Linked DNA regions of Saccharomyces cerevisiae S288C. Changing the gene in region 1 together with any one later gene gives a genetic interaction. Each region holds a gene or a part of one and is shown in the gene's direction. Other genes may lie near its edges.

Region 1 (6,272 bases):
ACATATGTGTATATATATAAGCAAGTGTTGAGCTTGCCTGTCAAATCCTCCATGTGTCCTTCTCGTCTATCTTGTTCTGTCTGGTATAGAGTAATACTTACATACATATACGTACATTGTTTCCGCTGGCTAGTTCGTAACCACCTCCTTTCCTAGGCTTACACTCACTTTTACTCCCGCACACAAACGCAAACATAAACACAATGACTGAATTCGAATTGCCTCCAAAATATATCACCGCTGCTAACGACTTGCGGTCAGACACATTCACCACTCCAACTGCAGAGATGATGGAGGCCGCTTTAGAGGCCTCTATCGGTGACGCTGTCTACGGTGAAGATGTTGACACCGTTAGGCTCGAACAGACCGTTGCCCGCATGGCTGGCAAAGAAGCAGGTTTGTTCTGTGTCTCTGGGACTTTGTCCAACCAGATTGCCATCAGAACTCACTTGATGCAACCTCCATACTCTATTCTATGTGATTACAGGGCTCACGTTTACACTCACGAAGCCGCTGGACTGGCGATCTTGTCTCAAGCGATGGTGGTTCCTGTGGTTCCTTCCAACGGTGACTACTTGACCTTGGAAGACATCAAGTCACACTACGTCCCAGACGACGGTGATATTCACGGTGCCCCCACCAGATTGATTTCTCTGGAAAACACTTTACACGGTATTGTTTATCCATTGGAAGAACTGGTCCGCATCAAAGCTTGGTGTATGGAAAATGGTCTCAAACTACATTGTGACGGTGCCAGAATCTGGAATGCCGCTGCACAATCTGGCGTGCCATTAAAGCAATATGGGGAAATCTTCGACTCCATCTCCATCTGTCTATCCAAGTCTATGGGTGCTCCTATTGGGTCCGTCTTGGTTGGGAACCTTAAGTTTGTCAAGAAGGCCACCCATTTCAGAAAACAACAAGGTGGTGGTATTAGACAATCTGGTATGATGGCTAGAATGGCTCTTGTAAACATCAACAACGATTGGAAGTCCCAATTGCTGTACTCGCACTCTTTGGCTCATGAATTAGCCGAATATTGTGAGGCAAAGGGCATCCCGCTAGAGTCTCCAGCAGACACCAACTTTGTCTTTATTAACCTGAAGGCCGCTAGAATGGACCCAGATGTCCTTGTTAAGAAGGGTTTGAAGTACAACGTTAAGCTAATGGGTGGTAGAGTCTCGTTCCACTATCAAGTCACCAGAGATACTTTGGAAAAAGTCAAATTGGCCATCTCCGAGGCCTTCGACTATGCTAAAGAACATCCTTTCGACTGTAACGGACCTACCCAGATTTACCGTAGTGAATCCACCGAGGTCGACGTTGATGGCAACGCTATCCGCGAAATAAAAACCTACAAATACTGATGCGTTCCAGTTGCATCATGTGTATTGTTAGGGTTTTTGTTTTAGGATTGCTACCCTCTTCCTTTTTTTCATACATTACAATAATTTCGTGGCATTGTAGATTTAACGGCTTTCTTTTGCATCAATGATTTTTATATTCAAATGGGTTTTTTCTTTTTTCTGTTTTGTTATTCAAGGATATTTCAACTCTCACACCATAATTATAACTAATTATGTCGGCACATTTGAGAACCAATGGTTAGTTTCCAGCGCACCTAGCGACTAACTACCCTATTATGGAGGGACGAAGGTGGTCTTTCTGAGGGAAGGAGGAAAAAAAGGTAAGAACCTCTTTTCTTTGTTCCCCATTGAGAGATCGACTGAATATGTTTGGTTTTTTTGGTACTTGATTAAAGTTTACAACGGTACGTATCCACGTGGAGAAGCACATTTCTTTGTATTCTACGATACTACGTATTAAGATTGAATGTACCCATGTATATTCTCGCAGGGTTTCTTCACAGGATTTCGACGTACACCTTTTATACAAATATATATATATATTTATATGTATGCGTAAGAGTCTAAAAAACGTTCACTTTAATTCCTTTTTTGCTTTTACTACTATTGTCTTTCTTCTTTCATTTGTCATCATGCAGTGAATGACTGAAACAATAGAGACAGGTATGAAAAAGAAAATTTTTTTCTTTTCAAACGGTAACGGGGGCAACGCGTCGCGTTCCTGAACAGCTTAATCTATTGCACGTATAAAAGCTGAGAACAATACGCTGACATAGCACCCCATTTTTTTTTCTTATCTTCACTTCAACAACCCCTCATCCGTAATTGTAAATGTCTCTCTCTCCCGTTGTTGTTATTGGAACCGGTTTGGCCGGGCTGGCTGCTGCCAATGAATTGGTTAACAAGTATAACATCCCTGTAACCATCCTCGAAAAGGCTTCCTCGATCGGTGGGAACTCTATCAAGGCCTCCAGTGGTATTAACGGTGCTTGCACCGAGACTCAACGTCACTTCCACATCGAGGACTCCCCACGCTTATTTGAAGATGACACCATCAAGTCTGCTAAAGGTAAAGGTGTCCAAGAATTAATGGCTAAGTTGGCCAATGATTCTCCCCTGGCTATTGAATGGTTGAAAAACGAATTTGATTTGAAATTGGACCTATTGGCTCAATTGGGTGGCCACTCTGTGGCAAGAACTCACAGATCGTCTGGGAAGTTGCCTCCAGGTTTCGAAATTGTTTCTGCCTTATCTAACAATTTGAAGAAATTAGCTGAGACTAAACCAGAGTTAGTTAAGATTAACTTAGACAGTAAAGTCGTAGACATCCATGAAAAGGATGGCTCCATTTCTGCTGTAGTGTACGAGGACAAGAATGGCGAAAAGCACATGGTGAGTGCTAACGATGTCGTTTTTTGTTCTGGAGGGTTTGGCTTTTCTAAGGAAATGCTTAAAGAATACGCACCCGAACTGGTGAACTTGCCAACAACAAACGGGCAACAAACAACTGGTGATGGTCAAAGGCTTCTGCAGAAGTTAGGCGCTGATCTGATTGACATGGACCAAATTCAAGTTCATCCAACTGGGTTCATTGATCCAAATGACCGTAGCTCAAGCTGGAAATTCTTGGCTGCCGAATCCTTAAGAGGTCTTGGTGGTATCCTATTAAACCCTATTACCGGTAGAAGATTTGTCAACGAATTGACCACAAGAGATGTAGTCACTGCAGCTATTCAAAAGGTTTGTCCTCAAGAGGATAACAGAGCACTATTGGTTATGGGCGAAAAAATGTACACAGATTTGAAGAATAATTTAGATTTTTACATGTTCAAGAAACTTGTACAGAAATTGACATTATCTCAAGTTGTTTCTGAATATAATTTACCAATCACTGTCGCCCAATTATGCGAGGAATTGCAAACATACTCTTCCTTCACTACCAAGGCTGATCCGTTGGGACGTACCGTTATTCTCAACGAATTTGGCTCTGACGTTACTCCAGAAACTGTGGTTTTTATTGGTGAAGTAACACCGGTTGTCCATTTCACCATGGGTGGTGCTAGAATCAATGTCAAGGCTCAAGTCATTGGCAAGAACGACGAAAGGCTACTAAAAGGCCTGTACGCGGCCGGTGAAGTTTCTGGCGGTGTTCATGGCGCCAATAGGTTGGGTGGTTCAAGTTTGTTAGAATGCGTTGTCTTTGGGAGAACCGCAGCTGAATCTATTGCCAATGACCGCAAGTAACGAATTTTATAAATGAATCATTTCTAAACGATTTTTTAATAGTATATAAGTAGTATTAATATTATTATTATTTTTTTTTTTTTTTTTTTTTCACTTTCGAAGTTCTGCCGGAAGAGCTCATCGACGGCCAAGAAACATTTTACATAAAAGTTATTGAGTTGAAAATTGAGTAAATATTCTCTCCAAAAATCAAATTGTACGTTTATATCACCAAACTATGAGCTTGAGGCCTTGCTTCGTATCATTGATAGATGAATCTGATAAACCTATATTGATTTACGTCCCTAATGAGGCGGAGAATGAGATGAATGATGTACTCAAATATAACGTGCTTTCTAACATATCGTTAGATTATTTTGAAAGTGCTTTGGTTGAATGGCATTCTTTAGATTCCAAACCTCTTCTGAAGTCAATTTTTCAATTGGAAGGTGTCTCTGTATTTGCTATGTTGATTAAGCAGACGGGCCTGAAGATTGTCATTGGATTTGAACAAAAAAGCCTAAGTGGAGCTGATGATGAATTTGAAGCAATCAATCAGATTTTCGAAACCGTAAGAAAAATCTATATACGTGTCAAATGTAATCCTTTACTTGTTAGCGGTGACGAAAAGTCCATTATAAAAAGCTTGGAAAGAAAATTTGATGAGTTGTTTATTTCAACTGAAGTTGAATTATAAATGATAATTTATTAGTCGATTCTTTCACGAATGAAAGCAAAATTTAATGTCACTGCTTTGGAGTGAGAGCGATTCAGAGAAGTTATTAATGTCTAATATGTCCAACTTGGTGACAGTTTCGCCTTGCCTAATTAGCGGGGATCAGGTGCCGGTAGTATATCTCAGATGACCGTGACAATCAAACTTTCTACTTCATTCAAGTGACTGTCAATTGTCATGCTGTTCATGAATAAATAAGATACGGAGACAATTAAGGCGATCGCTTTGACTCTACTGCTAACGAAAATTGTCCGAATTGAACAGATGTGGAAGCAATCACTATACGTTACTTCATAATGAAGATATTTGTTGGCTTTCCGAGATATAGACTGATCTTTGTCACTTCATATCCGGCACGGCAATTTTTACATGGGATGGCTCGTCATAAAGATACTGCGACCTTTGGAAAGTCTGAAATAAGTGCTAGGTTATGGTTACAACGAGAATTGACAGATATGATGTGATTGTTCACGTATGTACGTATAAAGATATTTATACTACCAAAAAAAAAAAAAGGGTTTTTTTTTATTTCATTATCTAAGTTTCATAGCATTTCCTTCATTAAATTGGCGTTTGTCTCTAGTTTGCGATAGTGTAGATACCGTCCTTGGATAGAGCACTGGAAATGGCTGGCTTTAATCTGCTGGAGTACCATGGAACACCGGTGATCATTCTGGTCACTTGGTCTGGGGCAATACCAGTCAACATGGTGGTGAAGTCACCGTAGTTGAAAACGGCCTCAGCAACTTCAATTGGGTAGGTTTCAGTTGGGTGAGCAGCTTGGAAAGAGTAGTATTGAGCCAAATGAGCTCTGATATCAGATACGTAGACACCCAATTCAACCAAGTTGACTCTTTCGTCAGATTGAGCTAGAGTGGTGGTTGCGGAAGCAGTAGCAGCGATGGCGGCAACACCAGCGGCAATTGAAGTTAATTTGACCATTTTATTTGTTTTGTTTGTGCTGATATAAGCTTAACTAGGAAGAGAAGAGTGGAGGCATATACCAAAGAGAGGTAACCAAAGCAGTTCAATTTATATGAATTTCTCGGCCAGCTTCTCTTACATGAACGAGGGGCCACCTTTCACCTCATGAACATTATTGTTATTGCTATTGTTATTGAGATGCCTTTACTCATGAACGATCCATTTTTGGAGGTCTCGTATAAGAGGGCGCGGTTTTGAGTTAATGATACTCATTCGTATATTCAGAATGCAAGAATGTGCTTACAGTGGAGACTAGTTGAACCTTTTTTGAGTCCCTGAAATATTTCCAGTCTGCTAGCTCAGCAGTTGAGTCGAAGTAATATGATATGAGTGTTCGTTCAGAAACCACTGTTCAAGCGTTGACCTTAAACGGGATATCGGAGCTTGGCCTTTTTTTCCCAAATTAGAAACATGCGTAATGTCGATTAATTTTGAATTAGCGTCGTCTGGTACTATATGGGTGATCAAGAGTTGTCTACTATGTGAATCAAACGAATAAGGGATAATAATCAGTAGGACGAAGCACGCGTTAGATAATTAATGGCACATTGTTTCAAGGAATTAGTTTTTGCAGCCGTTTAGAGCTAGCTATAATGATAAAATAGTTCGTTCATATACTCCGGTGGGATCATTGCAGAAATTGAGAAAGAAAGAACGTTGAATATGACATACGTAGGTAAACGAAAATTTATAGACTAACCAGGTTCAAGGCATTCTTTGATCCATTGACCTCGTTGATACCTCTACTATTTTCGATCATTACTACTAATAGAATAACAGCAATAAAATTTACATAGATGATCATATTATATGTTAATGGTGAAGAAATTCACCTCCGACCGTGGTATGTCAATGTGAGATATCACAAAAGTTACTGAATTTTGATCCGGATTTCACTGCCACTATTTACTTAGATTCAGATTTGAGAGTGAAAAATGGGTGAATTTTGAGATAATTGTTGG
Region 2 (7,514 bases), on another chromosome or scaffold:
CATATGAAAATAACGGGCTGACTCAAGAAATTCACCGCCAAGTAGGAGGAACCACATTTGTAATGCAAGACTGTGTTATGTGTTACCATGGTGTGCAATAACTGCGAAGGTAGCACCGCTTGAGTCAACTGTGGCAGTTTATTAGATGCCACTCGAGTGTGGTGAACGGCAATTCCACAGTCTAACTTTTCAGTTGGCGCCGTGCCATCTCCTGGCTGCTAGGCCGATCTGTTATACAAAACCCTACACGGCGCCGTTTCTTTTTTTTTTTTCTTTTTCTGTGGCAAAGCGGCGACAGCGACGCTAAAAAAAACTGTGGTGGCGGATGCAGCGCCGGCTTACGGAGCCGAAGTGACACTCCATATTCATTTATTGCCTGGCGGTATCGTGGCATACATTGTAAGATGCGGCTGGTGGCAATCCGCCAAGAAGAGACGTAAAAATAAGGAAAATGCTCACTAATTATGTATGTATCAATTACTATTTGATGTTAAAAAAATATGTGGAAAAGTACAATAAAACAAGGGAAAAAAAGAAAGGGGGGAGGTTGGCGTAATTCTCCTGGGAAACAGTAAAAAACAATTCAAAGTAGTATTATTTGACGTTGTTAATATTTACACAGTTGTATGGATACATCAGTTTCTTCTAGTTTATTCATCCTTCCAACCCAACTTTTCCAAATCTTTCAACACTTTTTCTTCAGTTTGAATTTTTAGAACTTGCGTATCTTCTAGTTTGTCACCGACGGCCTGTCTTTCCTTCAAGGTTTCAATAGCCCTTAATTTCTTTAGTAAAGATCTTATTTTCTTCTCCTCTGGAGAAGTTTCTTTATTGTTTGTGGGGGCATTTGTGGAGGCAGGAGCAGATGGGGCCGGAGTAGAATCAGGTGACGTTTCACTTGACTTTTTATTGGCTCTTCTTCTCCTGTTCTTGGTGTTGGCGTCCTTGTTGGCACTCATGCCCGGAACTAGCCCTGGGATGGTCTTCTTTGCTGCACCAGGAGGAACTCCGGGGACAATACGTCCACCGCCTGTTCTTCTTGCGTGAGGTGGTTTATAAGCGCCTCCAGCTTTGGCCTTAGATCCGTTTCCATTGGAGCTTGCTTCTCTGCTTGGGTGTTGACTTATGTACTCTTGAACGCTAGAATGTATTTGCAATTCTGATTTATTGGATATTTTAGGATCAAGTGAAGATGTGGTCGAATCAGGTAGCGGTTCCCAGTTATTAATGATATGGTTCTCGAAAAATGCTTCGTCTTTGTTTTCCAAAGTTTTGTAATTACATGGTGACCTCCAGTCTACCTTCAAAAGCTCCTTGAACTCTTTAACAAATACTAAAGAGCCTGATACATGCCATATTTTAACGCCGTTATCCACTCTCAATCTTGGTGAAGTGGTAGCTGTCATGATAAATTCTCCACCCGGTGACCATTTGCAGACAGAAGTGTTGGTAGCGTCAAATTTACTCACACACTTGAATTTGTCGAGACGATCTAGGATTTCCACGGAGCCCTGTAAATTACCAAACCCGGCGATAAGAATGTAATGACCAGAGGGAGAGAAAAGCATGGTATTTTTGGCTTGTTGAGGTAATGAATGGACAACATTACCTCTTAAGTCAAAAAAGGAAATGGTTGCTGGCATGTAACCAGCGATGACACCGAATTGCCTTGAAGTTGGCGACCAAGTGAAATCGTGGACAGGTCCAGTGGTTAAAGAAACACGTACAGAGTTACCACCCAAAGTCCCGTTGACACCTTGGAAAGACAGTAAGTATAGTGTGTTTTCACCATAATATGATTTGTTTGAGGAATCAAAATCAGTAATAGCTAAACATAAAATAGCATTACCTAATGGATTCCATTTCAATTGGCAGGAATCAGCTTTAAAGAAAGTTTTGGAGGCAATTTTCTTGGTGATTTTACCTTCAGAGAGGGCCCATATGATTAATTGAGCCGGTTTACCACCCTTTTCTGGTGTGAAAGTACAAATTGTTGGATGTTCAGCTGGAGAGATTAGGTAGGTGGTGAAATGTTGGGACGTTTCATCATCAGACAAGACAGCAAACGGAGATTGGAAGTCGAAATTGTCGGCATTAGCGGAGCTTAATTTAACAATCTTCAAGTCGTGTTTAAAAAGTCTTAGCCCATAATTGTCTAATTTGGAGAATTGTAAAAACCAACCGCTTTGGGATTTGGCTTGATATTCGTAAGCAGGGACTATATCCTCCGAAACGCAATCTTTCTTAAATGGTTTATTCAAATACCAAACTTTAACGTTCTTGTGATTTGGGTCTTGTATAGACGCTCTCTCCCAAGTGCTTAAGTAGTTACCTGCTGGAGAGAAGTGTAGGTCATAGACGTCGGACAACTTCATTGTTAATAGAACGTTATCCAAACATGGACCTGTAAAAACTTTGACGTTCTCCTTCGTAGATAAAGCCAAAAATCTGCCACATGGCGATAAAACCGAGGAAATGACAGGGAAATCCTTGGAGTTTGTGTTGGATTGCTCAAAAGTTGGGTAGCTTTGGAAGAGCTCTATATCCTGAGAGGTTTTCAGGAAAAACTGAGATGACATAATGTTTAGGTGTTATTGAACCTGACTGTTTGTTGTAGTACTATGTTTTTTTATCGAGATGCAATGGATAGTTTAAACACAACACGTCTCAATCAACACTAAAGAAAGTTATGATTCGGTAATCTATAGGTTGCTTCTACCGTAAAGAATTCTCGCTATGTCTAGTCGTCTGGATAGATCGAGGAAAAGGAATCTTCATTGAATAACGTACACTGAAAATAAATCGCTATGAAGCTGAAATTTCATTGATGGACATGAAGAAAGCGAAGTGAAAAAAAGGAAGAAAAAGAAAGTATTGAGGAACATTCTGCGGTCGGGTAATAATATCGTACAGTATGACAGCGGCAATTTTTAATAATATTTCTGCTCACTAATAAAGTAAAGAATATAAAGAAAGGACCTTAATCTAAGATAGATGTTACTTTTTCATCTTGCAGTTTTAACACATAGAACCGAGTCTAAACATATTGAAATATTTCGATTTCTTTTGTACGAGTGCTATAAAAATGGGAAAGAACTAAAAAAAATAGGACACAACATTAACTGCCTGAGTTTCTTGAGGAAAATATTAAAAGAAATATTAGTTAAATAAATAGATTTGGTGAGATGTATTTCTATACACTGAAAGACATTCATACGCATCTCATGATGAGTCGAGCGCCTTGCGTTAAGAAGGCGCGTAGTTACGGTTACGAAAAAAATGAATAGAATACAATGTAGAGAGCGCCCTTAAAAGGCCCATAAAGAGGGATGACAGGTATGAGCCATAAAGCTGCAAGCCTCTACGGAAAACGATACATCACAACCAAGGAAAGATAGACAGTTTATATTCATAGATAATAGGGGGAAAGACTTATGTTACTAAAGTGTGTTTGCAGAGCCGGCATAATATCTATCAAAGGAATCTTTCCTCGATGGTACTCCAATTCTCAAAAAGTGGCCAATTTGGGGCAAATAACAGATTATTTAGTGGTTAAAGGTGTTCCCAATTTGTTACAAAAAATGTTCAAGGAGTCAGTGTTGGCGGATAACGTTGTTTTTAGACTATTTCCAACATCGCATCCATATATTCCAGTGTTACATGGAAAATCAAAATACATGGCTTCTTTGAATGCAATGCGAATGATAGTACGAAAGTTTATCTTGGGCGATGAATGTCGCTTGCATATAAGTTCAGTAAAGACTCTAACATCGACATCGCATGATGAAGAAGTTAAATCTGCTCTTCAGAGTTATAATACCATAACATGTAATGACAAATTGGTGATCAAATGGCAAAGCTGCATACCGGAAGACCATTGCAAGATTACCAAATTAGAAATTAATGACAGATTGAAAGAGGAGAAACGAGGCAATGGTGCAGGCGGTTCATTTTCAATGAGGTCGGTACCAGTCATAGACTACATTTTACATCCTACAGCCAATAATTTGAACCAAAGTGTTATCTCTGAGTACCTTGAAAATGCAGCTGAAAGGTCAATGGAAAATAAGGTCAACGAAACTCAAAATTCCAAAGAAGATGAGAAGAAGAAAAATGATGGCGACGGTAAAAGAAGTAAAAAAAAGAGATTATCCCGGCTGATTAAGGGAACATTCATATTCGAATTTAACGAAGAAAATTCGAAAATTCTGGTTCATACCATTGAAGATGTTGAACTGATCCATTACGAGAAGAAAATTGCCACTCGCGGTGCATTTGCATGTTAATACGATATACAAGAATTAGATAGCATCTTTATTTGTAAATAATAAACACACCATCATAAACATCACCATCAACCTTGCACAGGAGAAAAAAGGAATAAAAAGGATAAATTGATTATGATTATTTTTTAAAAAAATGAATATGTAATATTATTTTATGTCGATTAGGTAGTATGTAATACTGAAATTATGCCAAAGTTCCTAACTAAAATTGGATAAGCAGGGGATAAAAAGTCAGATCAAGGAAAATGAGGCGAAACTTTCAAAAGGTCTTTTTTACTTCTTATTTTCCATCTTGAATTAGGCAAGGTTTCTCAAAATTTTTCAATTGGAACTTTGCTGGTACTGTTTCCGTGTTCACAGACCACTGTTCCCAAAACAGATCAATCTTATTTTGGTACGAGAAGCAGCTGTCCATCGAGCTATCTTTGTTCCATGCAGAATCAACTTCATTGATGAAATTCTCCATCGACCTCTCTTTAGCGTTCGATACCTTTAATAAGGTATCAACCATAATCTTGCACAAATGGAAGACATCATAAATGTCGGGTAGATCTTGCCATATGTACTGCCTCGTATGCTGCAGGCTAACGTGTAGGTCTTCTTCATCATTGTAACCACAGGAGAGCCTTGGTACTACGTATTTCCTGTAAATGAATGCAAATGGATCTTTTTCAAACTCATCGAAATTTTTTAGATGCTGAACCTTCTTTGATTTGGAGACTCTAAAAAGGCAATCGCCGAACATCAGATAAAATATGGTGGCACCCAATGACCAATAGTCAGCTTGGTATGTGTTATACAATGGAGCCGATGACCGATCGAAATTCTTCTTAAAACAAGAGTTACTAACGCGGCCAGAGAAAGTTTCTGGCGCCCTGTAATTATCGGTACCAATCTGGAAGTCGTTAGATTTAGGGGATTGGATAGCGTGACCCCAGTCTGCCAACTTGATGTCACCATTTATCGTTAGCAAAATATTTTCTGGTTTGATATCACGATGAGCAATACCCAAGCTGTGAGCAAAGCTGATTGCTGAGCACAGTTGTTTGATTATCTTTTGCATATCAATTTGAATCAAAGATGGAGACGACGGGCTACCTTGACTCTTAGCAATATCTAGAAAGTCATAAAGATCACCACATTCGCAGTATTCTAGCACCATGATGTAGTACGAGTCATCCGTGTAAAAGTCGAGCATCGAACAGATGTTGGGGTGAGGATTACAAGAACTCAAAATCTTCATTACATCATACTCGTTCTTCATGTTGGCTTCTGAAGTTTTGTATTTAGGAGTAATCTTTAAAGCGACGTAGCGGTTATGTGTAGTACTCCATGCTTTATAAACTGTGCTAAATGTTCCTGATTGTATAGATCTTAGTTTTGTATACATTTTTGCTTTTTATTATTCGGTATATGCTGATAATGATGTGCTTATTTAAATGATTGCGTATACGAGTGAGAATTTGATTCGGAGGGTATGAGAGTCGATCTTGAGTCCTATGTTATATGCTTTTTGTCAGTAACGGGTTATTTAATGCTAAGAATAGTTATTATAAAAGGGAAATTTTTTTGTATTAAGAATAGTCATCACTTACATGTGTATATTATATATATATATATATATGTATTGTACTCGTATTATTATTCTTTGGGGAAAGTATTAGTAGGTAGATGCAACTAAGCTCCGATTTTTCCAAAATTAAGTTGTCCCTTATTGCATGGTCCCCTTAATTATCCTTCCTTTATTGTATGTAACATGAAGCTGCATTTTTGTTCTCAGGCAGCATCATCGTTCCCTTCACCTAACCCTTCTAACTTCCTTTTACCTGTTGCAAGCTGTCTCATACCCGCGCTGAAAAGGCTGAGAACTGGGTATTGTCCCAATATTACGCTCGGCTTTTCTTTTCAAAAACTTTGTATTCCAGATACTTCCATGTGCAATTTCCCTAGTGCTCCCTGTACCAAGCCATCGGAGAGGAGATGCCTTCTAGAATTCAAAGCACGTAAGGGGTACAAAAATCGGAACGGGCCGAAGGCCGAAAAGAGACGGCCGTACGTGAGAGCACATGCAAAGTGGTGAACGGGACGTTACGGAGAATTACGGAACCTCTCAACAGAAGATGCGCCAATAGTCCTTCCGAACTAGCTCCACGGGAGGGGTATGAAGAGCAAGCTTGTTTACGCAGCCTCACCACCGCACCGAAAGACCCTCACGACAGAAATGGAGCGCCTTTAATGACGTTCGTCCGCTGCGGGCCAGAACAGCACAGTTTTGCTTCCCCGTTTCTTTTCCACTATTTCGTCACCCGCTCGAGGTGGCTCGCCCGCTCGGAGGCAAGCTGCACATTCATCGAACACGGAGAGGCACGGGCGAGAGAAAAAAAAGCCTATTGACCTAAACGGATGTCATAATGAAAAGAAGGAATCCGGTTTTCCTGGGCATGACTAAGGTAGCACGACTCAACTGGGCCAGATCGGTTGCTTCTTCCGATATACATGCATTAGATTAAGCCAAAGTAAAATCAAAAGAAAATTTAGCGGATATGAAAACCAATCTAATCTCCTCGTTTGCTTTCCGACCGCATGTAAGGTTCGGCTTTCTTGACTTCGGATATAGCTTAAAGTCGATTCTTGACGTCACTTCGCAATATCATTTCATTCCCATTAAACTGGCGTATGGACTTTGCGATCCTTTATTAATAGTTTATCCGGATCCCAGTTTTAGTTTGGCTCAAGCTGCAGGTGAAAAGAAAAAAGTCGTATTCCCTACGTATGAAGATGTTCCGAAACTACTGTTGACGTTTAAGCAGATTATGAATACGTATAGGAAGGGAAGTTTGGGACAGAGACAGAGACAGAGAGTGTACGGGCGAAATGGGAATGAATCACATTCTACGTAATTTGTCTTTGACTTTCTTAGAGATACGTATATAACTTTTTTTTCTGTGTGAAAAATAAATATTCTCTTATCCAATGTGGACAAGAGCCAAAAATACTCTGCTTTGTATATTTACTAGTTTTTTTGGCCTTTTTTTTCGCTAAACATATATATTAGTCTCGCTTAAATAATTGTGATGTTTGAAGGGAACGTGTCACGTGCTTCGTCGTTCATGCTTTGAATCCATCTAGGATACACTTACCAAAGGTAAAAATTGTTATACCGGTTACAATGCTCATGTGCAATGACATGTATGAGTGACATTTTACGCTTCTTTCGGATTCAGGTTT
Region 3 (9,747 bases), on another chromosome or scaffold:
CAAGAAGCAGTACCAGTATTTTTTCTATATCAAGTAGTGATAATGGAAATAGCCCAAATTTGGCTTCCGTCGACACATAGAACGTTTGAGAGACATTATCACCATCAAGCATCGAGCCGCCCAAACCTAACCGTATAAGTTTTTTCACGTTTTTGATTTTTCCTTGCACACTTCGATATTACTCTCACGATAAAAGGGCCGAAGAGAATATTTTTCTTGAACATCCAGAATTTTAATTCGGAGAAATTTCACAAGCCGCCGATTTAAGGGTCCTGTGTTCTTAATAATCAGCCTCTCTCAAAGCAGGTAAGAGGCAGTCTTTCTTTTAACAATAGGAGACATTCGAACTAAAACATCAGCCCCAAAAATGCGCTTGAAGGTCATTAGGATTTGGATTTCTTCCTCATTTTTAAAGGCGCCCCTTTTCGTTTTAGTCATGCTGGGCTAGACTAGCACGTAGTGTATGGAATCAAACTGATGCCGTCCCCTGAATTATATTTACAATTCAGAAACGTCTTTGAACATTTATAATTAAATTATAAAACAAAAGGAATTTGTAAAAAAGACTTTCAAAAGATGATCCAATAAACTAGATTAAAAACCCAATATAAGAAGAAGAATGTGTGGCATTTTTGGCTATTGCAATTTTTTAATTGAGAAGACAAGAGGAGAAATCATCGACACTTTAATCGAAGGGTTACAGGCATTGGAGTACAAGGAATATGACTCCAGTGGAATTTCGATCCAAGGTGATGAGCTGGAGTCTCTCAATATTTATAAGCAAACCGGTAAAATAAGCAGTTTGAAGGAAGAAATCGACCTTTACAATCTTAATAAGAACCTGCCCTTTATTTCGCATTGTGGCATTGCCCATACTAGGCGGGCAACACATGGAGGGCTAAGACGTGCAAATTGTCATCCACATAACTCAGATCCATCTAATGAATTTGTTGTGGTACACAACGGGGTTATTACCAACTTCGCTAATTTGAAAGCCTTATTGATGGCAAAGGGCTATGTGTTCAAAAGTGACACTGATACCGAATGTATTCCTAAACTGTACAAACACATTTATGATACAAGCATTGAACTCGGGTACAACCTCGATTTCCATGTATTAACAAATTTAGTACTTAAAGAATTGGAAGGCTCTTATGGTCTGCTATGCACTTCTTCTCATTTTCCCGATGAAGTGGTTGCCGCAAGAAAGGGTTCCCCGTTAGTTATTGGTGTTAAAGGTAAAACTGACATGGACGTAAACTTTGTCGAGGTGGAATATTTGGATCAAGAAGAAGACTACTTGAAGCTTAATACTCAAACCAAGAGTTCTGGTAATGTCTTGGCTGCCGCACCTGTAAAATATAACACTTGTTTAAGGAAGTCACCCCCCTTCGTTCACAATACCTGAGAAACTCTACAACTTCTACATTCAATCATGGCTCATCCACAGAAACGCCAGCCGAGAACGGCTTGCCGCGACCCATGGAATTCTATTTGTCATCCGATTGTGCATCACTAGCGCGGTATGTGAGTAAAGTAGTATATTTGGAGGATAATGATATTGCCCATATCTATGATGGGGAGCTTCATATCCATTGTTCTAAAATTGGTTCCGAGGACTTTTCATTTAGAACAGTTCAAAAATTAGAATTGGAGTTGTCCAAAATCAAAAAAGGCCCTTACGATAATTTTATGCAAAAGGAAATATACGAGCAGTGTGAAACAACAAAAAATGTCATGAGAGGAAGAGTTGACGCCTTTACAAACAGAGTAGTTTTGGGAGGACTAGAAAATTGGTTGACAGAATTGAGAAGAGCAAAACGAATAATAATGATTGCATCCAAGGCCTCCTTCCATTCATGCCTAGCTGCCCGTCCCATCTTTGAGGAGTTAATGGAAGTTCCAGTAAACGTTGAATTGGCCTTGGATTTTGTTGACCGCAATTGTTGCATTTTCAGGAACGATGTTTGCATATTTGTTTCTCGAAGTGGGGAGACAACTGATACAATTAATGCTTTGAACTACTGTATCAAAAAAGAGGCAGTCACAATCGGGGTAGTTAATTGCAGCGGTTCCTCTATCTCAAGATTTACACATTGCGGTGTTCATACAAACACAGGCCCCGAGAAAGGTATTGCAACAACCAAGTCTTATACTTCTCAATACATCGCTTTAGTCATGATTGCCCTATGGATGTCGGAAGATTTGGTGTCTAAAATAGAAAGGAGGAAAGAAATAATTCAAGCCTTAACTATAGTCCCAAGCCAAATAAAAGAAGTTTTGGAGCTTGAACCATTGATTATTGAATTGTGTGACAAGAAACTAAAACAGCATGATACATTTTTGCTTTTAGGAAGAGGTTACCAATTTGCCTCTGCTTTGGAAGGCGCCTCGAAGATGAAAGAAATTTCTTACGTGCATTCTGAAAGTATTCTTACCAACGAGCTAGGACACAGAGTCCTAGCTGTGGCATCTGATAATCCGCCAATTATCGCCTTTGCGACAAAGGATGCTTTTTCGCCCAAAATCGCGTCTTGCATTGACCAAATAATAGAAAGGAAGGGCAATCCGATTATCATTTGTAACAAGGGGCATAAGATATGGGAGCAAGACAAACAAAAAGGAAACGTTGTTACACTCGAGGTACCCCAAACCGTAGATTGTCTCCAAGGGATACTTAACGTTATTCCTTTACAATTAATTTCTTACTGGTTAGCGATCAAGAAAGACATCGGAGTTGATTTGCCAAGGGACTCGGCGATGTCGGCCCCGGATATATAAAAAAGTGTTCTTTAATTCCTTCTAATTTCATTAAAACAAGTACTTATATTTTGGGCAGTATGTAGAATAGATGTTCACACTCTATAGCCAAATAACTTAATTATTGGTCAAGGTAATCTCTTGCAATTGGTGTCACTGCCACATCTTTTAACGTCAACAGTAAATCCGCAAAATCCCGTCGCGTCGCCGCTAAGCAGGCCCAATTTTAGCTCACTGCGGCAGCGGGCTGGCCGTGTGGCGCGAGGGTCAACATGCAAAAAAGGACGATAGATAACCTTAAAGGAAGTATTCATTTCTTCGCTAAATTTTCAGTGCTCCCTTACTTTACCGACAAATTGGATAAAAACATATAAAACACAACAGCAACACGTAGCCATACCAACCAATTCCACAAATCACCAGCCGTTCGTTCCTAAAAATGTTTAGAAGAAGAACAACTGCACCAGAAATGGAACAGGCGGACCCGACAGCAGTGGCAGCTGCAGCAAGTATCGGTAAATTATTAATGAAGAAGGGTAATCAATCTGATAACGAACAAAGGCCGACCTATCGATCCGCTTCGATGACAAACTTAAGAAAACCTTCTGCCCCCAAAAGAATGTCTTCTATTTCTAGTATATCATCGGAATCTAGAAGGAGCGATGGTAAAGGTCGTCCCGGGAAAATAAACAGCCTTACCCAACGGTCATCAATGGGGAAGGGAGATTCATTAAATTCTCCTTTAACGAAGGAACCGCAGCACAAAACTAGGTCTCACAATAGAACTTCGAGTCTCCCTAACCAGAGAGGTCAGCAAAGCAGAAACAGTTCTGGTTTACAACGTCAAAAGTCCAAAACACACCAAAGAATAAGCTATGATGAGGCTCAACGTACGTTCAAGGATTTTGGCGGACCACAGGCCAGAGGAATTTTAACGGGACAACACCGTACTGAAAATCCTAGCGGGTCTATTCCTTTGAGGACTACGCGAAAGTATATTCCTGGGCCCAACGGGCTGGTTGCAATTGAGGTCCCCGTTGAAAAACCAAGCAATGCCAATACTTCTAAATTGCTAAGGCGTTCCAACTCTGCCCACAGTGCCTTGAATGCAAGAAATGGTTCACTTTTAAGAAAAAAAGTATCGCAGGAATCTTTACATTCTCAACCAAAGAAGACTTCGTCTTTAGGGAATACATCAAGTACACAAGCAAAAAAAGGCCAAAAGGCGGTTCAGGAGAGAAATCTTGCCAAGAAACATCCAATAAATTCAAATGTTCCTCTCATTGAAACACAAGTTCGTGAAGAAACAGACCAAGAGTTGAAACTTGATAATTCTAACTCTTCCGAATCCGAAACAGTAGTCAATAGCGAAAATAATCTAGAAAAACCTTCTTCACTAAACATTGAAAAAGATGATCTAAGCAAACTAATACATGAAAACATTGAGTTAGAAAGTTTTATTGAAGAAAAAGGGAAGGAAAAACCTTTAAATTCTGATCAAGAAGATGTTTTCATAAGCGAAAAAACTGTAAAAGGCGATGTACAATGGCCAAAAAATAACCGTCAAGCATCTACTCTTGAGAAAACTTTTAATTACGACAACGAAGAGAAGAGGGAGGGGAATAAACCAGTAGCAGAACATCCTCTTCCGGAGGCCGAAGTGGATGACAAGTCGGTTGAACAACTGAACAACATTTCTTCTAGCGGCAGTTATTCGGCCCAAGGATCAGTTGAAAACTCCAAACCAGAAAATGGCAATAAAAATCTAGAGAATGACACAACATCGTCTCCCACACAAGACCTTGATGAAAAATCCCGCTCAATAGAAGAGAAGGATACCTTGGAAGGGACCGAGAGTTCAAAAAAAGTTGAAAAGCCAGACAATTGTTGTGAGAAAATTTCTGGTGCTAATACTTCTTCCAAAAAAGGGAATGTTGGCGATACTAAGGATGAATTCTTCGATACAGTAGAAGAAAGCGATCAGAAAACGAGCAAGTCGAATTCCTCCAAGAACACCGATCATTCTAATCAAACAGAACCAACGCCTTCTTTGGCTCAGTATTTAAGGACCTCAAATACCTACCTTTCTCGAAAAAACCAATCGAAACAAGCTGAGCAAGAAAAGTTTCACAAGCCTGAAGCTCCTATGGTTCCTGTAACGAAAGTAGTTACACCAATCAAATCTGCTCTTAAAAAATCGTCAGGATCGTCCAACCATGACTCATCCATGTACTCTGATAACTCTCCCGCCAATGGCGCATACCTGTCTCTTACGACTGCTGAAAATACGAGATTAAATGCTCAAATGACGATGTCCGACAGCGTATCACGCAGAGCAAGTTTAAAACGATCTTCTATAAAAAGACCTCAGTCAGTAGGCCAGTTCAGAAGCATCAGATCAAATTCGCCTTCTCCCCCAGAGAAAATAAACAATAAACGCCATTCTGCTATACCCCTAGGAACCCCAGAGAAGGGTAAACCAAAAAGAAATTCGGTTATGGCTTCTCTGTCTAAAAATTCGCAGCAAATTCAAGAGCCCGCAAGTGTATATGAGTCAAATGGCCCAAATAAACCTAAAAACCAAATCAATAAGAATATAAAGAGAGGATCACAGATCGCGCAAAACAATAAACCTTCAACGAAGGACATGAATAGTATTTTGTACCCCAAAGAACCACCTCCTCGCAAATCTAGTTTTGAGAAGACGAGAAGCAATGAATCCCATCTCGGATTTAAAAAGCTTTCTTTGAGAAATGGTAATTTTGAGGAGGCATTGAGTGAAAGCTATAATGGGCAAGCTAGCCAGAATAGCACAAATGTGAATCGAACCGATACAGCACAGGAGTTTTTCAAATATTTGGGTCATTCATCAAGATTTGCGGATTCAGACTCAGAAGATGAGTCCCAATTTTTCAACCAAGGCCCATCAAAATACAACACAGAAACAGAAGGCAATAAAACCAGCGGTAACAAAAATAGTAATGGTGGTAACGGTGCTTTTTCGCTTTTCAAGAGCAAAAGTAAGCAAAAGGAAAATAATGTGGTTTCCCCTGGAGTCTCAAGTCCTAATCATACTACCACCGATCCTGCCATTACAAGTAAAAAGGTGGACAAGAAATTCAGCGGGTTATCTTTAAGAGCTGCCAGTGAAGCTGAACCTGCAAAAAATTCAAACCCTTCGATGACCAATAGGTTACGCTTCTCTAGTAATCCAGAGAACGGCGAAAGCAGGCTCCCACAAGCACAGGAAGTCAGCGTTACAAAAGAAAAGAAGGGTAGTTTCGGCAAAAAACTGAAAAAAATCTTTGGTAGAAAGAAATAGGGACTCTCGGCAGAAATTCTCTCCTTGTACAAGTTATGTATTTTATTCTTTTTCGTGCTCGTTCAACTTCTGAACGATGGCTTCCATGCACTGTAACATATAAAGGATTTTTTAATAATGAATAATCAAGAAATCTCCATTTTATATGCTTTTTTTTTTTTGCCGTTTCCACTGCAATCAATGGCGATATAATCGGATGAACAATAAATATTCGTGTTCCTATTCGTGTTCCTATACGTGTTCCTAGCAGCAAACAATAACAGAAGAGAAGCATTTGATTTTCGTAAAAACTTCAGGTGTGGGTGTTTCTTATTAACGGTTAAACTTTACGAATTGAATCCCCTATGTATAATGGTCCATAATACATCTTAAACCACCAAGCCATCTTCGTAATTTTGAACTGGGAAAATTGGGAAAACTGCAGACATTCATAATCATGACAGGATCTTTAAACAGACACTCACTTTTGAACGGGGTAAAAAAAATGAGAATAATATTATGCGATACAAACGAAGTAGTTACCAATCTCTGGCAGGAATCTATACCCCATGCATATATTCAAAATGATAAGTATCTTTGTATTCATCATGGGCACCTTCAATCTCTTATGGATTCAATGCGTAAAGGTGATGCAATCCATCATGGCCACTCTTACGCAATTGTTTCACCTGGTAACTCGTATGGCTATCTTGGAGGAGGGTTCGATAAAGCTTTGTATAATTATTTCGGGGGAAAGCCCTTTGAAACATGGTTCAGGAATCAGCTTGGAGGAAGATATCACACGGTCGGATCTGCTACAGTGGTTGACCTACAGCGATGTCTTGAAGAGAAAACAATTGAATGTAGAGATGGTATTAGGTATATTATTCATGTTCCGACCGTTGTAGCCCCATCAGCTCCTATATTTAATCCGCAGAATCCCCTCAAGACAGGGTTTGAACCGGTTTTCAACGCCATGTGGAATGCCTTGATGCATTCTCCAAAAGACATTGATGGTCTTATTATTCCTGGATTATGTACTGGGTATGCAGGTGTACCACCCATTATCAGTTGCAAGAGTATGGCCTTTGCGTTAAGACTATATATGGCGGGAGATCACATAAGCAAAGAATTGAAAAATGTGCTGATCATGTATTATTTGCAATATCCGTTTGAACCTTTTTTCCCGGAAAGTTGCAAAATAGAGTGCCAAAAACTAGGAATAGATATCGAAATGCTGAAATCCTTTAATGTAGAAAAAGATGCAATAGAATTGCTCATTCCTAGAAGGATTTTGACCTTGGATTTATAAAGGTATATAATATAAAGTCTATTTTCAATTTTTCAAGAACTTGAACTACGTTTGTAAGTATGTTTCACCAGATATAACGATAAAACAATTCCCACTGCTGCCAGGGCTATATTTGGAATATAGGAAATCAGGAATGCCTTTTTGTAGACATCAAGAATGCGAACAAATATATCCGTTGGAAAATTGGGCCCTCTCAAGTAACTCGAATCATTGATAAGGGAGTAGTACTGCTTTTTGGTGAAGTGATATTCGTCATCACGCTTGGTTTTGAACATATAATTCCATAACATGGACGACAGGCTATTCTCATAGGACACTAAAGTTAAAGAGGCACCAAGAACGTTACCAATGGATCTCCACAAATAGAAAACACCAGTCATGGTTCCTTGCTGTGATTTTTCGACGGTGAATACGATGCTTACTAACGTGGCCACTAATAGACAAGCGTAACCAAAGGACACAAGGACTGATGCAAACACATATATCAATTTCCACCATATTGAGTTAGATCTGAATGTAATAGACTCAAGCATATCATATATGGTGTAGTCAGGATTCAAGTGTGAAAGTAGGAAATAGCCCAATCCCAAACCCAATAGCTGCATTATCATACCACCAAAAATGATTTGATATGCACAGTGTGCTAGGTTAATTTTCGTATTCCGCAATACCCATCCTGTTACCAATGATCCGACTGCAACTGATATAGAGGGGAAAATCAAAAAGAGGCCAGTCTTTGTTACACTAATATTTTGAAGCAATTGTAAATAGATTGGTGACCTAAAGATTTCACCAAATACAACAAATGAAGATATAACCGTTACCGCTGAGCTCAAACAGAATGAGCGAGTCAATAGTTCGAATGGTAAAATTTTCTCAGTCGCGTAATAACGTTCAACCAGGATAAAAACAATAAAGCTACCAATGGTAAACAATGCTAAATACAACTTGTTCAACTGGCTAGAGCACAAAAATAAAACTCCACTAATGGTCGCCACCAGGCTTAATGAGCCAAATATATCTATCCGTGACAGATTCTTTAAGGTATATCTTTCTTTCATAGGAGGAACATGGAATAGCTTAATATTAATGTTTTTGATTGCTAATACCGAGCACAACATTATCACGGGTACTTGGATACCAAAAAGAGCCCTCCATCCAATGGTTTCTATAAATACACCACCCAACGGAGCACCTAGTAATTGACCAAACCCGAAAACAATATTCGCATATCCCTGGTAAACGCCCCTTTCTCTTGCTGTACATATGTCACTAACAGCAATGCTACTAATAGCATTCAATCCTCCTGCACCAATACCACATATGGCTCTTGCTATTGAGAATTCCGTGACGTTTCTGGCAAAACATGTTAATAAGCACCCAAGGCCAAAAAAAAATTGAGCGGTTAATAATGCTGACTTCCGCCCTGTTATATCAGAAAGCTTCCCATATAGTGGTTGGAAAGCCGTATTTGTCAAAAGAAAACTCGTCGCAATCCATTGCTTTTTACTTGATTCAGAGAATTCCTCAGCAACTCTATTCATTATATTTGCGACAATAGTGCTATCCAAGGAACTCAAAAAACTACCCAACCATAGCGAAAACAAAATGGGAAACTTAGGTAAGGCCAAATTATATTCATGAAATTTTTGTTCCAAGGGAGGGGCTTCAGCTTCCTCAGGTGGAGGGAGTAGATTTGAAGTCTCGTCTAGTGTTTGCATTCTTCTTGTTCCCTCAACAACTAGGGCTCTGAGCTTAGTGAAGAACAAAGAGGAGACAAAAAACAAAATAATTCGATAGAAAAAAATCGCTGCTGTATTCTTATATTTTGGGAATGTGGGTTGGCCTAAAGTGGAACCGCATGCTCTTCTCTATCACCGGCCCTTAAGATGACCTACGTTTATTGTCGGACAGATATCATCCAACAAAACGACGCAGTGAAAAAGTGTATCATGCGAATACTGAAGATAAGATAGGCTAAGCCGTGGAATCAGCGATAAAAAAAAGATCGCGTGTATTAACCAATGACAGCCTCACAGAAGCGCTTTGATCATATATAGATATAGGTGCATTTATACACGTATATATATTTACATGTTTTCAGATTAGATTATATGGTAAATACGTGACAGTGTTCTACCGAAAAAGAAAGATGTCTGGCTTTCAATAAAATAAGCAAGATATGTAGAACAGTCTTCCTCCATTTCTTTGTATTGTGAAATATCAATCAGTTTGTAGATGGCTTAGGCTCATTACGTTTTTCGTTTTTTTCTTCTTCCTTCCTGATTTTTTCCGTTTCGTAATCGTTCAAGTACTTATCAAAAGCATCATTCCTTTCTGGGAAAGGGCGCTTACCAAGTAAATCAATCATATC
Region 4 (7,755 bases), on another chromosome or scaffold:
CCTAATTGAGAGGCTACGCTCGGATACAGCCCATTAAGTGTATTCTCTTTCGGTTGGCCATGAATCATTGTGAGATTGCATTGAGGGGCAATCTGTACAACTGCACTGTTAAAATGTAAAACCTTGCCATTCTTTTTGAAAAAATTTGCTTCGGCAACGTTTTCAATGGTCATTGGATGCAGTTTATGAAGTTCAGCTTGTAACTTGGTATTATCCTTGTCATTGTTATTATATAAATTACCTTTCTTGTTTATTTTCCTTCTGGTACCACCAACTTTGTTTGCTGCTGATAACTTGTGCAGCTTAGCTAATTTTTCTTGATCTACAGGCATTTGATGTTGTAGGATTATGTAGTAGTTTATTTAATTTAGCCGTATTTATTTCTATCAGGGAACCTTTTTAACGCAACTTAATTGTTTCTGTCACAGCGGGAAAAAAAGAAAAAAACAAAACAAAGCATTTAAAAGCATATGCCGTTTATTACATGATCTAAAGTTGTGTTGAAGCTACAAACTTCCTCGTTGGTCATTAACCAAATAGAAAGTGTTTTAGATAAAATGTATAAGTAGATAAAATATAACATATCATTAACAAAAACGGATTATTTGGATTGGAAAGACAAGGGCTCGCGTATTTGTTACTTTTTCCTTTTTCCAAAGAAACTGAACTTTTTCTTCTTTTTTTCCTTAACGTCCTCTTTGCGGCTTTCATCTCCCATTGTACTTATATTATTGGCTGTTGCCGCAGCTGAAACTGTATCTTCAGAAGGTGTCCCTAGTTTTATTACAGCAGCAGGGTTATCACTCGTAGCAAAGTTGGTCTGAATTGGTGATGGTTGCGTAATATTGATCTGAGGAACTTTTGAGGTACCGTTTTGAGATAGAGACTGTAATTGGGGCGGAGAGTCACTGTTCAATTGATTAACGCACGGAGCAGAATCCGCATTTCTACTGTTTTGTACTGTGTTTCTATTCTCCAAATTGCTTAGATTTGGACTTGAAATAGAGTTAACAAAACCCGATTGCTGATTTGAAATATTGTAATTTGCAGATGGTATGCGATTTGTCCTCATGCTACCACCGTTATTTTGAAACGATTTTTGCTGTGTTATCGGTGGACCCTGTTGAGATCTAAACGTACTTTGGTTTGAAAGTGAATTCAGACGGCTTTGGGTACCATTCATACCATTACCGTTAAACTTTCTACCATACTCGTTATTGGTTAGCCCTGGGACGTAACCTATATTAGGCATGACACTACTTCTGTTTTTTCTACTCGTTGGCTTAACAGTATGCATGTATTGCTGCGATGGAATTTGCTGACTAAATCGAGAACTATTGCTGCTATATGGCGTCCCAGAAGAAACTGGATCAACAAAATTGTTGGCAGAAATGACAGGGCTAGAGCTTGCAGCGCTAGGACCATGTAGACCTCTGCTGGTCATCATAGCCACATGTTGAGGCTGACTATAGGAAGATTTTCTATTTGGATTGTAACTTTTATTATTGTTATTGCCGCTGGTTGGTGTACCAGAAGGACCGGAGTATACTTGCTTAGGCGGTCTCTGTTGATATTGTTGTTGTTGCTGGAGGGCTTTTCTCTGTAACTCTAACTCACGCTCTTGAAGTTCTAATTCCTTCATTCGTACTTCTAACTCACGCTCTTTCAACGAGGTTTCATCTCTGGATAATGTTGTATCAGATGTGGAGTTGAAAAAAGATTGTCTTCTGCTATCATTACCACTACTATTATTACCTTGGTCACTCCTTTCGTAATTTAAATCAACATCAACAATGTTATCAGAGGGAGATATACCATTAGTATTACTATTTGGGCGATCAAATAATGAATTGTCTCCCATTTGCACTTTCTTCTTTAAAATTTCCAACTCTTGTCCATTATTTGCTTTACTTGAGGACACTTCTTGTTTTAAGCTCAAAACTTGACTTTGAAGTTCTTTTATCTCATTTTTCAGGGTTGATTCCGAATTTTGCAGCTGCATGATTTTTCCATCTTTAAGTGCGATACTGTTTTGTAAATCATCAACGCGAGTTAACGCTGTGTTCTCATCCTTTCTAATAAACCATTCAGAATCACCTTTATTTAACAATTGATATTGAGTCATCATTGTAAACAAACATTCTAAATATGGTGTCTTCACGCCAAAGTCATCTGCTAATAATATCGGCTGTAATAACAATAAGTCAATATTCAAAGATGAAGCCTTATGGATGAAATTATATAAAAGTGCCGGCCCATCAGGTAAGTCTTCGCACTTATTCTTCCAATGTTTCAATATAGTCTGTTCATTTTGAAAATTTGGATTGTTCATGGCTATACCCATTTTTTTTATTATTAATAAGCTCTCGCCTAGTAAACCTGAAATAAGAGGTTTGGCCAAAACGTGGTCATCCAAGGTTGATGGATTCTTCTCTTCTAATATTATTAATAATGGATCGAAACATATTTGAGGCAAAGCTAGTTCCCATTCTTTTGCCAAGAAAGCGGAGGGAGAATGATCGTAAAGAGTCACAACGTCCCTAGGAAACAGTTTTTGGAACAATTTCTGAAATGTATTCAAAATAGGAATAATATCACTTGAATAGCTGTTTTCGTGAACGGATGTCGTTTGACCGATCGAAACAGAAAAGGATTTGGCATTTGCAGTCGTGAACTGTTTGTATGAGCCATTGTCCAACCGTCTTATGTCATAATCGGTGAAAATGCTGAAAATATTTGACAGCGAAAGATCAACTGAAGCCTTGATGAATGGCTCCAAATATATAAACCCGCTACTTTCAAATAGTATCTTTGTTGTCTTATTCATCATAGGTTTTATATCTCTCAATACCTGCGGGATTTCTTGCAGTGAAGACGCACTCATTATTATCAAGTCGAATACCAAGCCACCATTTTCATTATTAAGGTCTACTAAATCTAGGAGCGATTGGAAATGGTTTTGAATCTGAAACCGTTCCGTCCCATAAAATAGTGAACTAACCTCGTAGTTGGCATTTTTTGAGTTGTTCACAAGATAAAATTCTATATTTTTGGCATGTTGAAACCTGGATGTGTACAGAATGAGATTTGGGTGATCTCCGCATACCAAAACCCTTAATGCAGATGTCATTATTCAATATACCTATCGCGAGATATGCCGGGAATAAAATGTAGGAAACAAAAAGAAAAATATATGCACAGTAGTTCAAACAGAATAGAAATGACGGAGAGCAAATATTTGGGTAGAATCACAGACTTTAGTGTTGGTTACAAGCTTTTCGAATGGATGTAGTTTGTAATCAAAGGACACTAATAATAGCGAAAAAAAAAAGGGCAAGTATGTTGGCAGTCGCCTCTTTTTCAATTTAGCGGTAAGTTTTTAATGAATGGCCTGGTGATAATAGATATGAACAACTTCGCTATCGTGTATGCCAATATCACTTTTCTTTTCTACTACTTACTCGACTTTACTCTACCTTTTCATGTTTGTAGATTTCTGTTTCATTCTAGTCTCGAGAATGGCCCACAGCACGGCCAACAGGGGGCTGCGACAATTTCGCGTAGAGCCCATTGTGAAAAAAGCCACCCAAGCTATTATTGTACACAGAAGAATATGGAAGCAAATCGCCAGTGCTACGTGAATGGGACAAAAACATGATGCCTTGTTTAGTATTAGCATTTTAGATACGCCTTTTCAACTTCAAATTGTGCTATAGATAGGAAGATCTCTTTATTACGCAATATATGTTGTGTGTATTTAGGATAAGACTATATCGTCCAACCATACACCGCGTTTCATCTTGTCTTTTTTGCAGCTAGTAAGAATTAAGCATCAAGAATTGTTCAGTTTGCGATGAGTAATGAAATATATTTAAAGAGGACTAATGTTGTTAAAGTAAGCAGTGCTTTTTTCACGCAGTGTATTTTTAGAATAAGTGGCCATGGGTTATATTTTGACAGGATATTCTAGCCGTCATGATAAGAGAAAGAAACATGCACTTCCTTTGCATCGGTATGCATCGTCTTCGATAAACTTGCAGCACCATGTGCATCTCTTAGAGACCCGGGTTTCATCCAAGAGGCCAATATCGGAAGATCAAAGGACTATCAGGCTTCCTGCGAAGAAACTTAGGCATCATCAAAAGCTAACTTTGCAAGATTTACCTGTAGAGATTATTCAACATATTTTCGTTTTCACAAAGGGTGAACCGTCGATGGTCACCTTGAACAGGTTCTTCTATAGTTGCTTGAAGCCATCTTTTTCATTATTATCGAAGATCATGTGGGAAAAATATCTTTTCGATCCCCTGGAGTTTGGCGTAAGTAATATAAAAGCTTATTCAAGAAATATTGTGATCCCTACATTATTTGAGCATGAAACTTTTTTTAGACTACTACTAGATCATCATCCTATCCTGTTGAAAAATATTTCTCATTTTCTTCCCAGAAAGCACTATCAAGATATGCAGAATGGCGATTTTGATACATCTAAAGAGCTAGACTTGTGTTCAATGAACACTGAAGATACATCGAAAGAAGACTTCCCTAAAAACTTTTACAACAATATGCATATTTTTTTAACACGTAGGGAATGTGTGAAGTCTCTAGGTAATCATTTTACTTTGAAGAATCCATATGATGTGATATCCCCTTTTATAGAATGGTTTTTTCAAGGTATTGATATGCAAGGAACTGACCTAAGCCCTAAGTTTACCTTTGTTTCTCTATTTGAATCAATAGATTTAATCCTATACGTCTCTGGATCTACAGTGCAAAAACTAGCGTCTATTGAACCCCTTACGACTGTAATATTTTTATTATATTTCACGTATGCTGATTCACTAGGGAGTCTGAACTTTGAGTTTTTTTTGCAGAATAGATCAAGATTACAGCTCATAGAGAAATTTATCCTGAAATATTATTACAATCCATCATTGACAGAAAACGAACTTTTATCTGATAGCACTATATGGGACCTGTTAAGGCGGGTGTCTGATTTAAAACTCATAGATTTGGTCGTTAAATGCGGCGGAAGGCCTCAATACGGGGTTATGTTTGCATAATTAAATTACTTAGTATTAAGATTCTGCCCCTTGCATGCATGCACAATATGTGCTTGCCAATTCATTTATGTACAAAAGATGGTGTTATATAAGGAATATATTTTGTTTTCTTTGATATTTTCCCTTTCTCATATTCTTGCGGTTTTTCTGCTTTCATTACGTCGCTAATTAGTTTGTCAAAAATTATAACACCGTTAGTTTCCAAGCAATAATTATATAAGGTCCCGTTAAAAAATATCGATAATCAAAAGGTTTTCAAGTAGCAAGCAATAAATAGCTTTCCGAAGACTAAACAGGCTTTCATAGTGTCTCAGTAAGCGTATGGATGGACAACGCAGTTGATGACAGAGAAACACAAAACTATGGGGAAATTTAAGGTTATTGTATTGGCAGGTACTGCAGGTACAGGAAAATCAACCATTGCAGGTGAACTAATCCATGAATTTAAAGATATATACCCGGATTTGAAATTCATCGAAGGTGATGATTTACACCCGCCTGCCAACGTAGAAAAGATGACAAGAGGGATTCCATTAAATGACGACGACCGTTGGGACTGGTTGAAAAAAGTTGCCGTAGAATCTACAAAAGCTGCAGCAAGCACTAAGGAGCATTTGTCAATTGTTGCTTGCTCGAGCTTGAAGAAGAAATACAGAGATTTGATTAGGCACACATGCCCTGAATCGGAGTTCCATTTTATCTTTTTGTATGCAAGTAAAATAGAAGTTCTGAAAAGGCTCAAAACAAGGAAGGGTCATTTCATGAAAGCTGATATGATGGAGTCTCAATTCAGGGATCTGGAGTTACCAGACATCAACGACGAAACTGACTGTGACATTGTTCCCTTAGATTTCAAAACGTTTTATCAAATTGAAAAAGATGTTATACAGGTGGTAAAAAGTAAAGTTTTGAATATTGAGTAAATAACGCTTGGATAAAACGAAGTAAATATTAGAAACAGTTATATAGAAATTAAATACGGTGACCTGGAAAATTAACAAAGACAGAACAAATGTGAATGAATAATAATAGCAACTTCCAAAAAAAAAAAAGGGGTTACAGGGATCAACAAAAAAAAGCAAGAAAAAAAATGAATAAAGGGAATACCATAAAAACAAATAACATTAAACGGATGAGGGGGTCATAACGGAAGTGTGAATATAACTACAACTTGCTTTGGCAAGTAATATTTTCGGGAAAACAGATGATCATCAAGAGAAGGTCTATCAATTGTGGGCTTAAAACAGATGTGTAGTACACTTTTGTGCCAAAAAGGAGGGGGTTAGTTAGTTAAAGAAGAGGAACTCATGCGAAGTTCGTTGAATTTTTTTTCGAACAAGGAAAATTTGTTGGAAATCTTAGAACATTCGTTATCGGACTCGCAAGAAGTGCTTGTGAACGAAGAATGCAATCCAGTGTCTGTGTCTAGCGTTCCGAAACTGCCACTGCGACTGCCATTATCATCGTCTATCCCTTCTTTGATTCCATCTTCTTCCTCACTTGAAGATGTATAAGATAAATTCTTGGCAGCTTTACTATCGTGCATGTACACGTAGGATTTTGGAGACAAATTCTCATTCGTGTTATCGACGGGGCTAACGAACTTTTCATAAACAGACTTGGAAAGAGGCGGCACTTTTGATAACGGGCCTTCATTGGTGAAGCTTGTAATAGAACTAACTTCTTTCATCAACTCTTGCAAGCTCATTCTATTCTTCGGATTCACTTGTAAAATCTTAGATAATAATGAGTAAAAGTCATCGGAAAGCGGTAGGATTTGCTTTAGTATATTGGGATCCTTAGTGAAATAATAGTAGGTATTATCCTCGGTTTTGTCAGCCTTCAGCCAGGGATTTCTGATGCATGTCAAATTGATAAGGATGATACCTAATGACCACAAATCGCCATTACATGAGGGACAAACCTTACCCAACTTATGTCCCCCACTTTTAGAGCTGGAAACTCTCCCATCAAATGAGATTCTTTCAGGGGGCATATAATACGAGCTACCAATGCAAACATTTGGCTTTATATATGTGGAAGTAGTGGATAGACCAAAATCGCATAGGAAAACGTTATCTTCTGTATCCAGTAGCAAGTTTTCAGGCTTGATGTCACAGTGGTAGATGCCGTGCTCATGGCAATAATTAAGAGCAGAACAGATCTGTAGAAAAACCTTTTTTACTAGCAGTCCATTAGTGACAAAATGTCTGTTATCTACAATAGACGTGAATAGGTCTGTTGGGTAATAATCCATGACAATGAACGTGCAGACTGCAGATTGTAGCACCTCATGTATGGTGACAATGTTCTTATGATGGTGGACTCTTAGGTGTAGCGAAATCTCTTTATAATGGGGCAGCTTTTTAAAATCTTCTTCTGACATATTCTCAATTGATTCTAGATCTATAGAGGGCACCCTGACAACGTTTTTCGATTCCTTGAACAGTTTAGCGAGCTTCTTTTGCAATTTCACGCTATTTTTGTGTATTTTATCATTGCCCATATCAGCCTCCTTGCTAACACCGTAACTTTGAACAACCGCTTTGATAGCGTATTGTCTATCGGTACGAATATCTAAGGCACGGTAAACCAGACCGTACGCGCCTTCGCCAATTTGAGAAGTTATTAAGTAGTTATTAATTCTGCAATTATGGAACATCATCATTACTTTTTTCTTTTTTTTTTTTTT

Evidence for each region.
Region 2: mutations in TCA17 (region 1) and MCO32 together harm fitness more than expected from each alone (negative genetic interaction), as found in Saccharomyces cerevisiae (one large-scale study listed by BioGRID).
Region 3: mutations in TCA17 (region 1) and SEG1 together harm fitness more than expected from each alone (negative genetic interaction), as found in Saccharomyces cerevisiae (one large-scale study listed by BioGRID).
Region 4: mutations in TCA17 (region 1) and YDR249C together harm fitness more than expected from each alone (negative genetic interaction), as found in Saccharomyces cerevisiae (one large-scale study listed by BioGRID).

Annotation. Positions count from the first base shown.
Region 1 is NC_001137.3:62,724-68,995, reverse strand, and holds TCA17 (Tca17p), read left to right. Parts: upstream 1-3,828; coding exon 3,829-4,287; downstream 4,288-6,272. Other genes in the region: threonine aldolase GLY1, read left to right, coding at 204-1,367; FRD1 (fumarate reductase), read left to right, coding at 2,199-3,611; seripauperin PAU2, read right to left, coding at 4,906-5,268. UniProt on the Saccharomyces cerevisiae protein: Required, together with the TRAPP II subunit TRS33, for TRAPP II complex assembly or stability, and for proper Golgi localization of TRAPP and the Rab GTPase YPT31.
Region 2 is NC_001139.9:591,758-599,271, reverse strand, and holds MCO32 (Mco32p), read left to right. Parts: upstream 1-3,434; coding exon 3,435-4,286; downstream 4,287-7,514. Other genes in the region: YGR054W (translation initiation factor 2A), read right to left, coding at 651-2,579; protein kinase FMP48, read right to left, coding at 4,567-5,676; YGR050C (uncharacterized protein), read left to right, coding at 6,830-7,186; SCM4 (Scm4p), read right to left, coding at 7,395-7,514.
Region 3 is NC_001145.3:436,009-445,755, forward strand, and holds SEG1 (Seg1p), read left to right. Parts: upstream 1-3,199; coding exon 3,200-6,082; downstream 6,083-9,747. Other genes in the region: YMR084W (putative glutamine--fructose-6-phosphate transaminase), read left to right, coding at 620-1,408; YMR085W (uncharacterized protein), read left to right, coding at 1,483-2,781; PDL32 (putative ADP-ribose 1''-phosphate phosphatase), read left to right, coding at 6,519-7,373; VBA1 (Vba1p), read right to left, coding at 7,406-9,094; m-AAA protease subunit YTA12, read right to left, coding at 9,601-9,747.
Region 4 is NC_001136.10:955,989-963,743, reverse strand, and holds YDR249C (uncharacterized protein), read left to right. Parts: upstream 1-3,941; coding exon 3,942-5,063; downstream 5,064-7,755. Other genes in the region: CCR4-NOT core subunit BTT1, read right to left, coding at 1-332; PAM1 (Pam1p), read right to left, coding at 638-3,130; YDR248C (gluconokinase), read left to right, coding at 5,405-5,986; putative serine/threonine protein kinase VHS1, read right to left, coding at 6,346-7,731.